Linked DNA regions of Oreochromis niloticus. The protein of the gene in region 2 purifies or fractionates together with the protein of the main gene of each other region. This does not show direct contact. Links are inferred from orthologs where the notes say so. Each region holds a gene or a part of one and is shown on either strand. Other genes may lie near its edges.

Region 1 (8,015 bases), on a different chromosome or scaffold from region 2:
TTTACTAGGTCCACTGCACTTGTTAGCGGGCTTATGTATTAAAACACGGACATGTATGTTCATTTATGTTATTCTTTTTATCTTCATCATAAAAAGTATAAATAAAAACCTTTTGATACGACACAAACAGTCTTGGGAAACCAAATTTATGATAAATGATAGCAAGAAGATTAAAGGTACATCAGACCAAATAAATGTTTTTGTTTTAAACAAGACTAAATTTGTCAATTTGGAGAAGCTGCAGAATTAAAATGATATTTTAACCATTATTTTCCAGATTCGCATGCTTTTCATTTTTTAAATACGCAGGATTTACGCAGTCCCGATTTACTAGCCATTACCTTTTGCCACTTCTGAGATGGTGTCCTTGTAATACACACAGCGCTGGGCATCCTCGATCTGCAGTGGCCCCACCTGAGAGAAACCATTCTCTGTAATGTAGATCGCTGGGTTGTTGAAAGTGTCCTGCAAAGTCAGAGGGCAAATATTATTGTCAAACAAGGCATCACAGCCTGTCAGGCATTCCAGGGAGAGACAGATTGGTCTACAGTGTGCCGTTCAGCTGCGTTTCAACGGTGCCAGGCTCAGACTAATGGCGTGTGACAAGTCACAACAGCAGGAAATTGCTCGTTTGCAAACACTTTTCAGCAAAGTAACTGTTTCATTCAATGTGACAGCACTAATGAAGCATCAGTGTGTTTCTGGAGGTGTCGAAAAGAGATTGCTGCATGCAAAATCAATAGTGAGACACTAAACAAATGCCAGTGTTCTCCTCGTACGGTTGAAGGTGATCTATCTTGTTGCTGGTCAATTCATTTTGAGCACCGACTTTACTTTTCCGCAAGGTGAATCCAAACTGTAATGAAAGAATTTGGTCGGCCCTTGGTTTGGGTTATTTTTAGTGTTATATATTAGTGTAAAATTGTTCATTTTTACATTTTTGGACTCTATTGCAGTAGCTGTGCATGGCTCACAGTTTAAAATAATCCTTATTTATGTTATGCTGGGACTGGTGAATTATCTTAGTCAATCATTTATCTGAAACAAGCAGTTTATACTCCCTCCCCCCACTTTTTAAGGAAACTTTCTTCTGATTGGCTGCCCCACACAGACTAACCAAAAGAAAAAAAAAGATTTTTAAGAAAAAGTTTTACCTTAATGTACTTTAGGAGTTTCCTCAAGCCATCCGGCACTACAGCCAGCCAGGACAGTCCACTGATGGGCCAGGATGAATCCAAAACTTCCTCTGTATCTTTGTCACCCTTCATACACAACATCTTTTCACAACCTCCTCCTGGTTTGACTTTGCGAGACGTGTAGTAGTTCAACGCAAAGAAGTCGGCAGTTCCCAGAATGGCAGATTCATCCTTGGAGAAACTGGGGAGCCTTGAGGCTGCATTGTATCCTAGCTTCTTACTTTGAGCGTCTATAGCAGATCTCATTATTTCTGGATAATCACCGGTAACAAACACAGGCCAGGCGAACCATCCCAGTGTAAATGCAAGGTCACGTTCAGTAGCAGCAAAGTCCTCGGGGCAACCTTGGTTTAATGGCTCATACCAGTCGCTGTTGAGGGCAATAGACACGGCACCTTTCTGCTCTGACCTGTAGCGAGAATTGTAGCTGTGCCAGGCCATGGCGTGGGCCCGCAGCATGTTGTGTCCTACCAGGTAGGCAGCGGTGCCTTTCTCTTTTAACCCTGGGGCATGGATGCCGTCTTCGTGTCCCAGTTTGGCGCACACTTGTGGCTCATTGATAGTGATCCAAAGTTTGACACGGTCCCCAAATGTTTGGAAACAAAACTGAGCATAGTTGTCAAAGAGGCTGGCTATACCAGGTGATTTCCAGCCTCCCTGGTCTTGCAGAGCTTGAGGCAGGTCAAAGTGGTAAAGGGTAACCATCGGTGAGACATTTGAGGTTAGCAAATCATCAATCACTTTGTTGTAGTATTGCACACCTGTTGAACAGAGAGTGCCATAAATGGGTAATGAGATACAATTGCCTAAAGCCATCAAATAGGCCTGGATCTAATTCCAGCATGTGTGTTTCAGGTCTATGAAAATACCTTTCTGATTGACATGTTGCGTGGTCCCATCAGGCAGGAGGCGGGCCCAGGAGAAAGACAGGCGATAGTGTGTCAGTCCAAGCTGCTGGATACACTCCAGGTCTTTCTCCCACAGCTCATAGCTGTTACAGGCCACATCTCCATTCTGGTCCCCAAACACTCTGCCTTTCTCATGACAAAATGTGTCCCAGATACTCGGTCCCTTGCCGTCCGATTGCCAGCCACCTGAGCGAGCACGTAAAGGTTGTTCAGAAAAACAGGTAAAGTGCTGATATATAGAAATATCACTCTGATGTTCCTTCTGAGGCTTTTAGAGTGTCCGTGGATTTATTGTGACAGCATCTAAGACGTCATCGACTCTAGCATTTATTTACTTTCATCTAATTACATAAGTGTGTTAAAGACTGTATTAGTCTGCCAATATTTTTTTTATGTGTGCCAAATGAGTGACAAATGTAAGGAACAACTCAAAAAATGTGGGGAGAAATACAAGTAAAGGGCAGAAACAGTGATCAGAGGAACACATTCAACTTAGTTTTATACCACCAAATCACAACAACAGTCGCGTGTAGGTGCTTTATATTGGAAGGTAAAGGTCCTACAATAATAAAAAGAAATGTCCAAGAATCAGACAACCATCACAATCAGACATGGTAAAAGTAGGAAGGAAAAACTGCCTTTTAACAGGAAGAAACCTCCGGCAGAACCAGGCTCAGGGATGGGCAGCTATCTCCTGCAACCAGTTAGGGGTTAGGGGAAGGAAACAAACGGCTGTGTTTTTTGTTGCATTAGTGTATTGAAAACCAGAAAAAGAGCCATTCTTCCTCAGGTGACTGACAATGACAATATGGGATATGATCAGACTGTGTCACAGAACACAAAAAGTAATATGGTGGAGAGAGATGAACCAGCCTTAACCATATTCTTCAGTGCACATAGGCATGAAAGCGTCATGGGGGGTTCCATGATGACAGTGCATAGATGCATGAGCCATACAGGTCACCGAATGGTTTGGTGAATAAGAAAATTATATGAATCACAGACTTAAGGCCCGTTTAGTCACCAGATCTCATGAAGCTAAACATCAGTGGGAGATTTTAGACCAACATTAGAAAATGCCCTGTTACACCAATGTCAAAACAACAAATGAGGAAATGATGAATAAATTTTCACCTATCTGTATCTCCAATATAATCAGTGCAATGGTTACTATTTATTTACACATGCTTAAGTTTCACCAAACACTCATTTAAAGCATGTTACAGCGTCAATAGCGCCAATATTTACCAAGTGAAGTAGTCACGGTAAAGCGAATTACATTAGAGGTTCTCGGAATGTAAAGGCCCTCTCTCTCTCCCACTCCATGACAGTTATCACTGCTCCATTCAGAAACTTGTGTTTACATACCTTCTATTTGATACGCAGACGTTGCCGCTCCCCATGCAAAGTCACGTGGGAACATGTTTTTGTGCCTTAGGACGCTGAAACAAAGGTGTTCCTATATCTTAGCGCGTCATGCTTTTATCTATCTGAAATGTAATACACAAAGCTATTTGTCTCCCTACAAAGCGGACGTTTTTTTGTTTTGTTTTGTTTTTGCTCCATGTGGCATTGCAGCCATTAACGTCCACAGACCAGGAACTACTGCGAGATGTGACGTTTCGTAAATCACGTATAGAAGATTTCATCCAGTACGAGAAACTCCGAAGATAATTATCTCGCTGGATTTTGCTTTTTTCCACAATGCCACTACTGTAATACTAGCTTAATGCTGTTATTAAATAATAATAAATCAAAAACACATTAGTTCACGGGATTCGGTCTTTTCATGTTCAAAATTTAGGGCAGGAATGTGGGATTAAGAAATGATCCGAGGTGCACCTGAAAGCACCGCAAGAATGAGTCGAGGGTTGCGATGAAATCAAAGGCTGTTGCCAGCTTGGTAAATTAGTAAAAGTCTATTTTGCAGTCAAGCAGAGCAACTCTGTGAGTTTCTGCGTGTGTGTTTGTGGTATTAATTTAAAAAAATGTAACAAATAACGTAAATTCAAATAGTAAAGACCCAAATATTACGACGTAATTAACAACTTGGACGAAGTATTTGTTTCGATAGCATAAGAAATGTAGAATGAACTATAGTTATAACATATATGATATTTATTCCATAAAAAGCCCCACTTATATTAGCTTTATTATGTTCCAACAAACGTGTAGCCTACATTTCACCACCCGGATTTTTAAAATAACAACAATGTAGTTTTGCATACTCTTTAGGCCCTTTTATCTGCACCTCCGTATCATATACAGTCTATCGTTAAGCCTCGCACGGGTTCTAATAATAAGCAAAGGACTTGTGCCCACTTTACTGCTGTAGTACAGTTTTCTATATGATGAAGTGAATCATTTGATCTCATCAAAATGAACACAATAGACTGCGACAAGAGGGCAAACAAATACTATCAGATTATCAAGAGTATTACATTCTCAACTCGGTGGAGTGGAAAGATTCAAACGTCTGAATCAGGGCAAAAACAAATCCTTATCATGGCTTTCATGTGAACTGCAAACTGGACCAAACGACCAGAGGTGGAAGTACAGATCGTGTATTACAATAAAAGTAGCAAGAAAAACATAAACACTCACTTTAGTCCTGCAACAGCAGTATTTTTTTATGTTCACCATATTTTTTATGGTGGGAATATGCCCCCTTATCGCATTTTTATATCGCAGGTTTATATTTTAAATGCTATATTACTTATGCTGATAGTTTTACATGTAACTGCGGACTGTTTGGTGATGTGCAACAGGTACATATCCAAAAAAGACACTTTTAACAGTTCCTTTGCGTTCAACCAATAAACCACATAGACGCAATCATACCCCAAACTCAAAGGAAGTCATCTGCTGGTGCTTTTATTATGAAATGCGGACCGGATGTGGTTTAGAATCCGCTCGGCCTTGACCGCCCCTGACTTCAGTGGCTCCCGGGGCAGGACCATGGGACTAGTAGGACTTCTCAATGGAAAGAAGACTAGTTTTAAATATTTTCTAAAGACACCGGTTAACAAAACGGACACGCCGACTACTCTGGATACGTTATTATACAATTTTTAGTGTATTTTTCCCTCATTGGTAGCACAATTTAAGCTAAAACCGTTGTTGTTTTTGCGCTCTGTTTTTTTTCCTCAAAGTAATTTCCTGTTCATGACCGGGGGCGAGAATTTGCACGCTTGTTTGTCGTCCCGTACGTGTTTCGAAGTAATGGGAAATTTAAAGTGAGCGTTTAAAAAGCCCGACCGCGTTTCCTGAAGTTGGGAGCGGATAACCTGGGATGACTGCAGCCGCCTCCTTTGGATAAGACAACACACTGACTTGGACCCACGCTATGGGCAACAAAGGGAACCTCTCAACAACTGGGCTAGTTATTTAGCTACCAGGGAGGATACTCGGCATTTGAAATGTGGTAAATTTGCAGAGCTGGGAGGAAATGGAAGCCGGTGCCAGCATGGAAAGGGAATTCTAAATGAGTCGTTTTCCAAACAAAGAAGGACACCTCCGTCGGACTGAACACCGCCGAGCAAAGGGAAAGCCTTGCGAGAAATGGAGGAGGAAGGCTCGCTTGAGCCAAACAACATACTTGCAAAGGTCTCATTCTTCTTTGCCCGGTTCTAGCAACATCTACCCGCCCGCCGTTTCTGTTATCAAAACATTGTTTCCTTCGCCGGTGCTGCAGTGCTTTTCTGGTCGCGTGTGAATTAAAAATGAGGGTGGATCGTTTGCAGTTGTTTGGGATTTTGCTGCTGCTGAGCGGCTGCTGTGGCTCGGCGGCATCATCCGCGTGCAAATCGTTTGATGAAAACTCGAAAAGCGGTGGGAAAATCGTGCCGTCCTACAAGAAAGTGGTCTGCAGCAACATGGAGCTCCATCAGGTGTTGCCCCCGGACTCTCTCTCTTTCCCGAACAGAACAGTGACACTGTGAGTACATACATACAGATGCATGCTGTGAAAACACATCCCATCAGCCACTAGATTCACTTTATTCTCAATAAGGACTGTTTCTTTCCTGAAAGTTAATGTTACTGGAACTGTTTGCGACGTCTTAATAACCACCTTATCCCCCTTATTCATACTGCACAAACATGAAAAGATAAATATAGCTTGATAAGCTGACCACAAACTATCATTTCACAGCTATATACTGTAAATAGCAGTGTAAATACTAACCTTGTGTAACAGTAACCCCTTCCTGTTATGCAGTGATTTATGCAGAGGCTGCTAAATTACACACATGCCAGCATAAATGTAAGAGCTCATAGGTTATGGATGTGATTCTTTTTCCACCTGGTTTTACTCTGGCGTGGTTAGATCCTGACAGCACACCTGGCTAACACTAGCCAGGTGCCCTTTTTTTTTTTTTCTTCAAGAATTACACTTTTAAAGTTTAGTTTTAGGTTGTTGCCAGGTTGGTAGGTAGCCACTACAGTAATATGGCCTTACATCAGAAGCAGGCTTTGAGGCTGTGCAACCACTGCTTCTCCATCAGTGTCATTGATTAAAGTTGCTGGTCATTGTGTGGCAGTCAGCAGGGATGAAACGCACACCGAGACACAAGCTGCTGATTGATTGAGGCCTTTGTGTTGTGTCAAGTCAGAGCAGATTTAACCAATTGACACTCTGGTTTTGGTCTATCACTGAGCATTTGACAGGGAAAAATAAATAAAAAGGAATTTGAATAATCTTGACAGTAAGTTGAAGCTGTGTGCACCCCAGAGCTCTTGTACTTTGCGGTGGTGGTGTGCAATGGGGGAAATATGAGAATACCAGGGCAGGGTGCAGGGGTGGAAAGCAAATAATGGACTCCCAGGAGGGAAAGAAAGGCAGAGGATTGGCTGGTAATAAAGAGTTGTAAGACGATTGCAGTGCATGTTTTTAAGAGCTTTACCATAAGTCACTTGTTAGATTTGAGGCAACTTCCAAAGGTGCATGTTTAAAAAAAAAAAAATGTTAATTTGTATTTTTTTCAGGACACGACTCGACTGCATTTGCAGATATTTGAAACTTTCTTGTGTGGGATGAGACTTGAAAATCAGCCCATGAGCACAGTTTCTGCACAGATGTTGTTAAGTTTGGAGTTGGGGTTTATGTCCAGAGTAATTTTATCAAGTAACTGGAGCCCAAAAAACATCCAAATTAGGCCTGTATAGTGTATCCTGGGTGGAGCTCCACAACTGGCAGTCATTCAACCAAGTGTTATTACCGAAAGCACTGGTCCAAAAACACAGACTGCACGCTTCTCCTTATGATTAAATGTCCCATTAAACAAAGCATTTATATTGTGTGTCAGTTGTTTTCTTTACTGTACGGCACCAAGAAGCCATGAGGAGTGCATTGTGAGTCCTTCCAAAATTACTCCAGCACATGCCTGCTGTGATGTTACTGGTGGGTAGAATCAAACCTCATATTCAAGCTTCTCGCTAACACAGGAATAGATCATATGGGTGAGTTTACTGTGTGCGAATTATTAGTATTAGGGCAGATTAACCATTACCTGCACAGACTATGGGATGTCTCATTGCAGTTTAGCTTAAAAAAACAAGCTCTTACTTATTTCAAAGGATGGTAAGCAGAATGGACAAGTAGACAATATCCCTAGTAAACTGGAATAAAACACTTGTATGGCTCTTGAATTAAAAAGAAAAAGAAAAATTCCACTCCTTTTATTTTTATTTTCAGGAAGGATTTATGGAATTAGTGCTAGGTATGGTGTGTTCTGAAGTAATGTAGTGGGCCCTCCCTTCTGTTTGCTTTGTCTTTATGTGTACAGTGAGCTTGTAGTCTCTCATCACACTCTGACAATGATGGATTGGAGGTTGAGCCCGGTTGCTCATGATTTAGCGCTGAGCTCCAGAGAACAAGAGCAATGTAATTTGAGAGCTCCGACCAAAAAAT
Region 2 (6,917 bases):
GATGGAGAACAAGGGGAACCCAAAGGGACAGAGTCAGCCAACGATCCAACACCAGTCAGAGAGGAGAGAGAAAGCACAAAGGGTGGTACTTTGGTGCAGGGGCAGTTAACTCGTCAAGGCTGCAGGCAATGAAATACTGAATGTATGTGGCATGAGGACACACGGGTTTAATTTGGGAAATGGTGGGGGCATAATTTTGGCAGGGAGACTACAGTCCTTTCTTTGAAAATTTAGGAAATTCTCGTTACATTTCCTGCAATTATACACGGCACAGTCACTCCATATAAAATTAAATCTGGAAAAAGTCCCTACCTGACCCCTCAAAATCAGCAAATATTTTTTGGACATTAAGTTTAGGATATTAAATTTACACACAGAAACATTTACCATGATATTATGAATATTTGAATTCATGTGTTAGAAAGCCTCCAAGTACATCAAGGTCAAAATTAAAAAAAATTTTAAATTTACATTACTACTTCAGCCTTTCGGAGCTCCCGTAGATTCAAAAGTACAGGAGACATTCACATAGTGATGCAGAAGAACAGCCCTGAAGACTTCATGAGACTATCTCCTGTACTTACGAAGACTTAAGGGCTCAAAAACTATGGAAAAAGAAAACTAAACGGGTATTTTTCCCCATCAAACCCTAAATTCTTTGAGGGCCTGTAGCTGGCAAAATATTCATAGTATGAAAGTCAAATTTTGCATGGCTTCCTTAAATATCTTAAAGGTATTGTCATTTTTTTTAGACTTTAATCTGCTAATCCCTGGTGATAAATACATGTAACCTCAAAAAAATAACCACTTGTTCAATAACTAATCAAACAACAGTGCCGGTCATTCTCAAACAAATGATTTAACACCACATCCCAAAAGTCCCTACTATAAATTAGGCCCATACACAGGGAGGTTTACCAGCACACGGTCCAGTTAAAAAAGCTGGATGCAACTGGAGGTACTTCCCAAAAGATTCCCCAACAGAAACAATGTAATTCTGCTAATGCGACTCTAAGATGACTCGTTTATCGAAAGGAAGACGTCAGTTAGCAGGAGCTGCAACACGAGATTCCTCCCTCCACAGGGACATTACATACAAACACTTCTACCCCTTCATTAGATGTGCACATGGTAAATGACTGGTTTCAAAGTGCACGTTCAACACTTCTAAAGCAAACCCTCCATTAACAACTTAGGACCGATTCACAGGCTGGCTTCACCTTGGCACTATGATTTTAAACATTTAGACAGTGTTAGACCAACATAACACTGATGGCTTGCACCAACAGCGGCACTGTCATGAGATAACAACAAGCACTTTAGATTATTCTGCTGATGTTCTAATGCCACTCTACAATTAATCCTAATCAGCAACATCATAACAATCACGAGACACAACCTTATACACTGACCAACCCCAACATAAAAAAAATGATGACCAATTATATCACAACATATCAGAAACATGTAAAGGTTACTTTGACCTGCACATGTACAGTAATGACGCCTCATCAGTGACACTGGTACTTAACTAATAAATTCATGAGGAAAAATATAAATAATTATTCAAGAAATAACTTGCAAATTTACCAAATAGAACGGAAAAAAAAATTCAAGGACAAATTGGCAATTAGAAAAAAAATCTTTTAAAAAAAAAAGTCTTAAATTAAGACAAAACTTGACAATTTACAAGAATATAAATGATAAACTTAAAATATTTTTTAAAGTCCTACATTTCCTAGTAAAACGGATAAATTAATTAGACAATAAATGTGCAACAATACGACACAAAAAAGGAGAAAAGTAAAAGAAAACGTCTGATTCACGAGCAAATTTTTAGGGGGAACCCCCCCAAAAAAATGCAAATTCACGAGAAAAACTGAAACATTTACGAGTAAAACAGAAACATTTACCCCCACAAACTAATTGACGAATCAATTAGACAAAAACTGGCAAATTTAGGATTAAAAAGGAAATTTCAAAAGACAAAAACGGTGAAATATACGGGAAAGGGGGCAATTTTACAAGAAAAAATATTATTTTATGAAAAACTAACACAATTAGAAGAGAAAACTCACAAATTTGCCAGAAAAAAAGTGAGTTTTTTTTACTTTTACAAATACAGAGGAAACCCTAGAAAAAAATAATATAAAAGAATCACAGCTGTAAATGATTAATATAATGTACCTGCACAATTAGCTGTAACAGTTCGGTGGAGTTTGTCCAAGTTTTAAAGCTAAATTTACAGATGTGAGGGGCACACAAACACATACACAAGTGGACTGATTGCAAAGTTTGAACACAGCTGGATTACTATGCAGGCCTTCTTACCCAGGAGCTTCTTCACCTCCTCCACACTCATGTAGATGTTGACTCCGGGGTTGTTGTTGTTGACGCCTACGGGGCTGCCCGGGCTGGCCAGGCAGCCGGCCCCTTCCAGCAGCAGCAGGAAGAAGAAGCCCCCCAGCCTCCAGAGCACCGAGTGCGGCCACACTCGGGACTCGGACGGGCTGCCGGAGCCGCGGATCAACCCCAGCATAACGACGGTGGTTGTCTGGCTCGCTGTTGTTCTCGCTGTTCCCAGAGAATTTCTTTCTCATCCGTATCTGAAATTAATCCCGGGAGGCAACATTACGAGTTACTTCAAGCCCCGACACTCTTACTCACTATCGTGTTTTTAGTTTTTTGTCCCTTCGTGGTAGCTGGAGTGGGCTAAGTTAGCCGGAGCGGGCTAACTTTCAGTCGGGCTGTGCTAACCGTCCGCGGTCCGACTCGCAGTTGATTGTTTGACTGTTCAGGAGATTTACGAGCCACGTAAAATACACACCGGATATCGCCACATTGAGACGCTTTGATTTCTGTGGGTAGAAGCGAAAGAAGAGTGAAAAGTGCCCTAAGCAACAAACTAGCTAATACATCCAGCTTTCCCCCTCCATGGTCTCTGCTCCCGACGCTTTTTCCTCTCAGTTTTCACTCCGGGCAGGAAGGGGGGCAACGGGGGCGCGCAGCGCTCTGGCTTCTGCTGCCTTCACGTGCTGTCGGAAATATCACAGCCAGAGGACAATAAAGAAACATCAAGTTAATGTCATTTATTTATTATTATAATAATTTCTACATTAAAAGATAGGCATGCCTCAAATAACAATATAAAGAATGCATAAAGTGGAAAAGAGATCGACTTTATCTCGATGGCAGTTTAAAAAAAATGTTTTTTTGTTGGGTTGGTGATTGAGGTTGTAAATTTACAAGAAAATAATTGTAAAGTGTATGAAAAAAGAAAAAAAGCAGTCAAATTTAAAACAAAAGGAAAAAAAGCATAAGAAAAAGCTATAATGACAAAAGATAAAAATGTATGGCAAAAAGTTCCAGATTGATATAAATTATTTAAATTTATGAGATAAATGGAAATTTTATGTGACAAAATGTAATATTTATGAAAAGGCAAACTGAAGAGGAAAAAGTTGAAACCGTGTGATTAAAAACCCCCAGACATATTTATTTTTTAAAATTAAATAAATTGTGAGGGAAATATTTACAAGACAAATTTAGAATTCACAAAAAATAATACCTTTTCTTTTAGTAAAAAACGGCAAAATTAAAAATAAATCTACAAGGAGATAAAAGGAAAATAAAAGAAAAAATGAACAAAAATATAAAAAAAAAAAAGATATATTTAGGAGAAAAACTGAAAAAAATAATTGTTTAATAAAAGAATAACATCACTTTTTAGGTTTAAGTTCACAAAGAAATTTACATATTTGAACTCATGAGATCAATGATTTAAAAACATTATCAGAGCACCAACAACACCTCTTTCCAGTCATATAACCCCACACAAAGATAGCTCATTTTCACTGAAACAAGGTTTCCTGGATTAGCAACACTGGTCTCTGAGTCCAGCAGATGTGAAAGGGAGAAACCACTTTGTTGTTTACATGTTCTGTATAACAGTTCAAAGATATATTGATGAAACAACTTTAGGTCCTCAAGAAGTTTTTCAAAATCCTTAAAGGATCTGGATGGCACAGCTTCTCAGTTTCAGTGGAAGTTCTCTTTGAAATGTCTTGCTTCACTGTCTGTTCAGCTTTGGACTTTTGGCATGGAGGGCATGTCATTTACTTGAGAACATCCAGTTGTTGTGACACTCACTGCAGTGTCCTTATCTGCTGTTCCACTGCAATATAAACAATACCCCAGTGGCTCTGGTGTGAGGCTTCTCTTTAAGGCAGTAAACAAGTGGGTCTAATATGGCAAATTAATATTTCATCTGCCTCCGAATCATATTTGAATTCTGGTAAATATGATTCATATTATTTTCTCATCGATCAGTGGCCCTTCATCATCTTTCTTTTTTTTCTTCTTTATTTAGTTTACATTTGCCTTTAATTTGACCCCTGTCTGTATATAGCCTGAGGCTTAGAAGAGTCACTTTGGCAGAGCTAGAGACTCATGACTACAGGGCGTTAGGCAGACAAATTACAGCAGCGAGGAAGCTTTTGTTATGTGGTGATGGTTCTGATAGAGCAGTCTCCTTTCTGACTGGGGTAATTGATTAACAAAACCCAAGGCATGCCCATGCTCTGTTTTCTTTCATGAAGTATGTCCCAAATTGGTCTAATTTAATGATTAAAGCTAAAGTTTGGATTTGGAGTCTTTAATTTTGCATCTCCGCCCACTTTTGCATGCTTCAGTAACTCAATAATCCAGACACACACAGGAACAAAGAGAAGAGTAGTGACGTTCAGTAGTAAACTTAAAAAAAAAACAAAAAACGTCTCCATTAACAGAGTAAACAAAGTTATGGGTGTTTTCTCTTCTTAAAATGAAAATATTCTACTTTTCCTTATTTTCTGTCAAACTTATACTGTAACACAGGTGGATGCTCATATTAAAAGTAGCCAGGGAGTGACGTTGGGAGCCAAAAACTCAAGCTTCAGATTGCAGAGTTAGTCTCAGTGAACCAAAAACTGCAGTTGCTCAGATTCTTAAAGGCTGGCTCCAAAAGTGAGTCAGTTTCCACAGATTCTAATGTTAAAATAGCCAATTTCAGCTATATAAACAATACTTTTACAGCCTGGTAAAGATTTTGAGCTCTGTAGTTCATTTCCTCCTTTATAACAAGCGGATAATTACTGGTCTGTCTCTTAGGCTTCACCTTTACCAAGCAGTATCATTAAACTGTAGCACTTAACCGTGTTTGAGCTGTTGGTGTATTTTGTAGCGGTTTTAATGCAGTCATCTGGCTTGCTGTAAAGTGCACACCATCCAAGCAGTCTGTGTTTAACGAGTGAAATTCCACGATGTTTATTTGGATGTTGGTTTGGCATTAATCAGAAAACATCTCCATTTCTGTGAGCCGCTGTACAATTTATAAATACCACTTTATTAGCACCACACAAAAGTACTAATAAACTAAGTTGTCAGTGTTAGCTGATAGCTTAGCAATCTCTAAATATGGTAATTTATAGCTCTAAAAAAGCACAAAACAAACAGACAAACACAAATATAGTCATGCCTAAAACTCTGAGTCTTCAAAATATAGATGCCAAGGTGGTCACATCCATCTTTTGCACATAGCCTATGGACATTTCTTTCCTACTCTGGCTTTGCATGATGCCTATCAGTGAAACAGGATGTCCCTAATATGGTCATCTGTGGCACACAACTCCACCTACCTGCTATTCAAACCATTTATGAGGGGCAACAAATTAAAAGACATGATCCAAACCAGCTTGTTTCAGACAGAGGGCGAACTGAGGCACTGCACCAAGCCCCAGTTTAAGATAAAGATTATTGTGAGCCATGAAATAATGCTAAATTGTGCTAAGCTACTGTAATAGATTCCAAAAACAGTGAAATGGAGCTAAAAATGAGTACAACTGCTCTCCTTTAATCTGTTAATAAAATACTTTTAGTATAGTTTTCGATGCTGTCAAAACATGATAGATTCAACACAGTGTGACAAATGATGGCAAGAACTGCAACACACACACACCAGGAATCATTTTAACATTTTTATTATTAAAATATTCACCTACAAAATGGCCTATAAACACTATTTACAGATTAGCGAGCAGCGACGCCTGCTGAGACACAGAGGAAGATATTCTACACAGAAAACGCTGTGCATCATTGTCAGAGGACGAGATCAGTTTAAGGGTGAAAGTACACATTTCCTGCTGTCTTCGTAAGGAGATGATGGGACTGATGTAAGGAAAAGACTCTGCTTTTACTTCCCTGAGGGACAAACCTGCAGCTGAATCACAAACGTAAACCTCTCCAAATGTGTCAGCATTGGACGTTGAAATGAGGTATATAAGGTCTCTGATGCAGTGCAGTTGACTGCTTAGGGTTCATATTTGCATACCATATGTGGTTGCATGAAACTCAGTCAGCAAACACTGCAAATGATACATGATGCGGGACGTTTTTCATCTGACTGATCGTGCTTCCGCGAGCTACAAAGGCAACTCTCGGGATGCAGCCTCATATTCAGATGGTTGATGGTTTGTTTGTGAAATGTTACAGTGGGCTCTGACAGGGTTTTTCAGCACAAAAAAATGACCATAATCAGTTACTTCAAGTAGATTATAAACACCAAAATTGAAGTAAGGAGGTTTTTCACATGACAGTGATGACAGTCCTTTCATCAGGCTCCAAGTGCTCTAGAGAGAGAGAAAAAAGAAAAGTCTCATTTTGAGGGTAAGTGCTGAAAATCTTGTGATCCTCTACAATAGCAGTTCATAAGAAGGGCTGAAAAAAAATCACAAACCTTTATTGTTGTGTGTTTGTTCTTCTGGCTGTTAAGACAGTTAAAGTTGGTATATGAACAGCATTGCATTGGTTTATCGTCTTAAAAATATTGCGCAGACAGATTGTTTAACTCACTCTGACTCTTCTTGGAAGGCGTCGGTTCA

Evidence for each region.
Region 1: the proteins of ryk (region 2) and adgra3 purify together in Homo sapiens (affinity purification with mass spectrometry; 3 studies listed by BioGRID and IntAct, with this or other methods). This does not show direct contact. The link is inferred for Oreochromis niloticus from reciprocal best matches to the Homo sapiens genes RYK and ADGRA3.

Annotation. Positions count from the first base shown.
Region 1 is NC_031967.2:12,246,572-12,254,586, forward strand, and holds the start of adgra3 (adhesion G protein-coupled receptor A3), read left to right. Parts: upstream 1-4,999; 5' UTR 5,000-5,826; coding exon 5,827-6,041; intron 6,042-8,015. Other genes in the region: gba3 (cytosolic beta-glucosidase), read right to left, coding at 342-465, 1,155-1,957, 2,066-2,290, 3,473-3,527. UniProt on the Homo sapiens protein: Orphan receptor that may have a role in planar cell polarity pathway.
Region 2 is NC_031986.2:32,535,010-32,541,926, reverse strand, and holds the start of ryk (tyrosine-protein kinase RYK), read right to left. Parts: upstream 3,022-6,917; 5' UTR 2,540-3,021; coding exon 2,332-2,539; intron 1-2,331. Other genes in the region: sned1 (sushi, nidogen and EGF-like domain-containing protein 1), read right to left, coding at 6,775-6,800, 6,889-6,917. UniProt on the Homo sapiens protein: May be a coreceptor along with FZD8 of Wnt proteins, such as WNT1, WNT3, WNT3A and WNT5A. Involved in neuron differentiation, axon guidance, corpus callosum establishment and neurite outgrowth.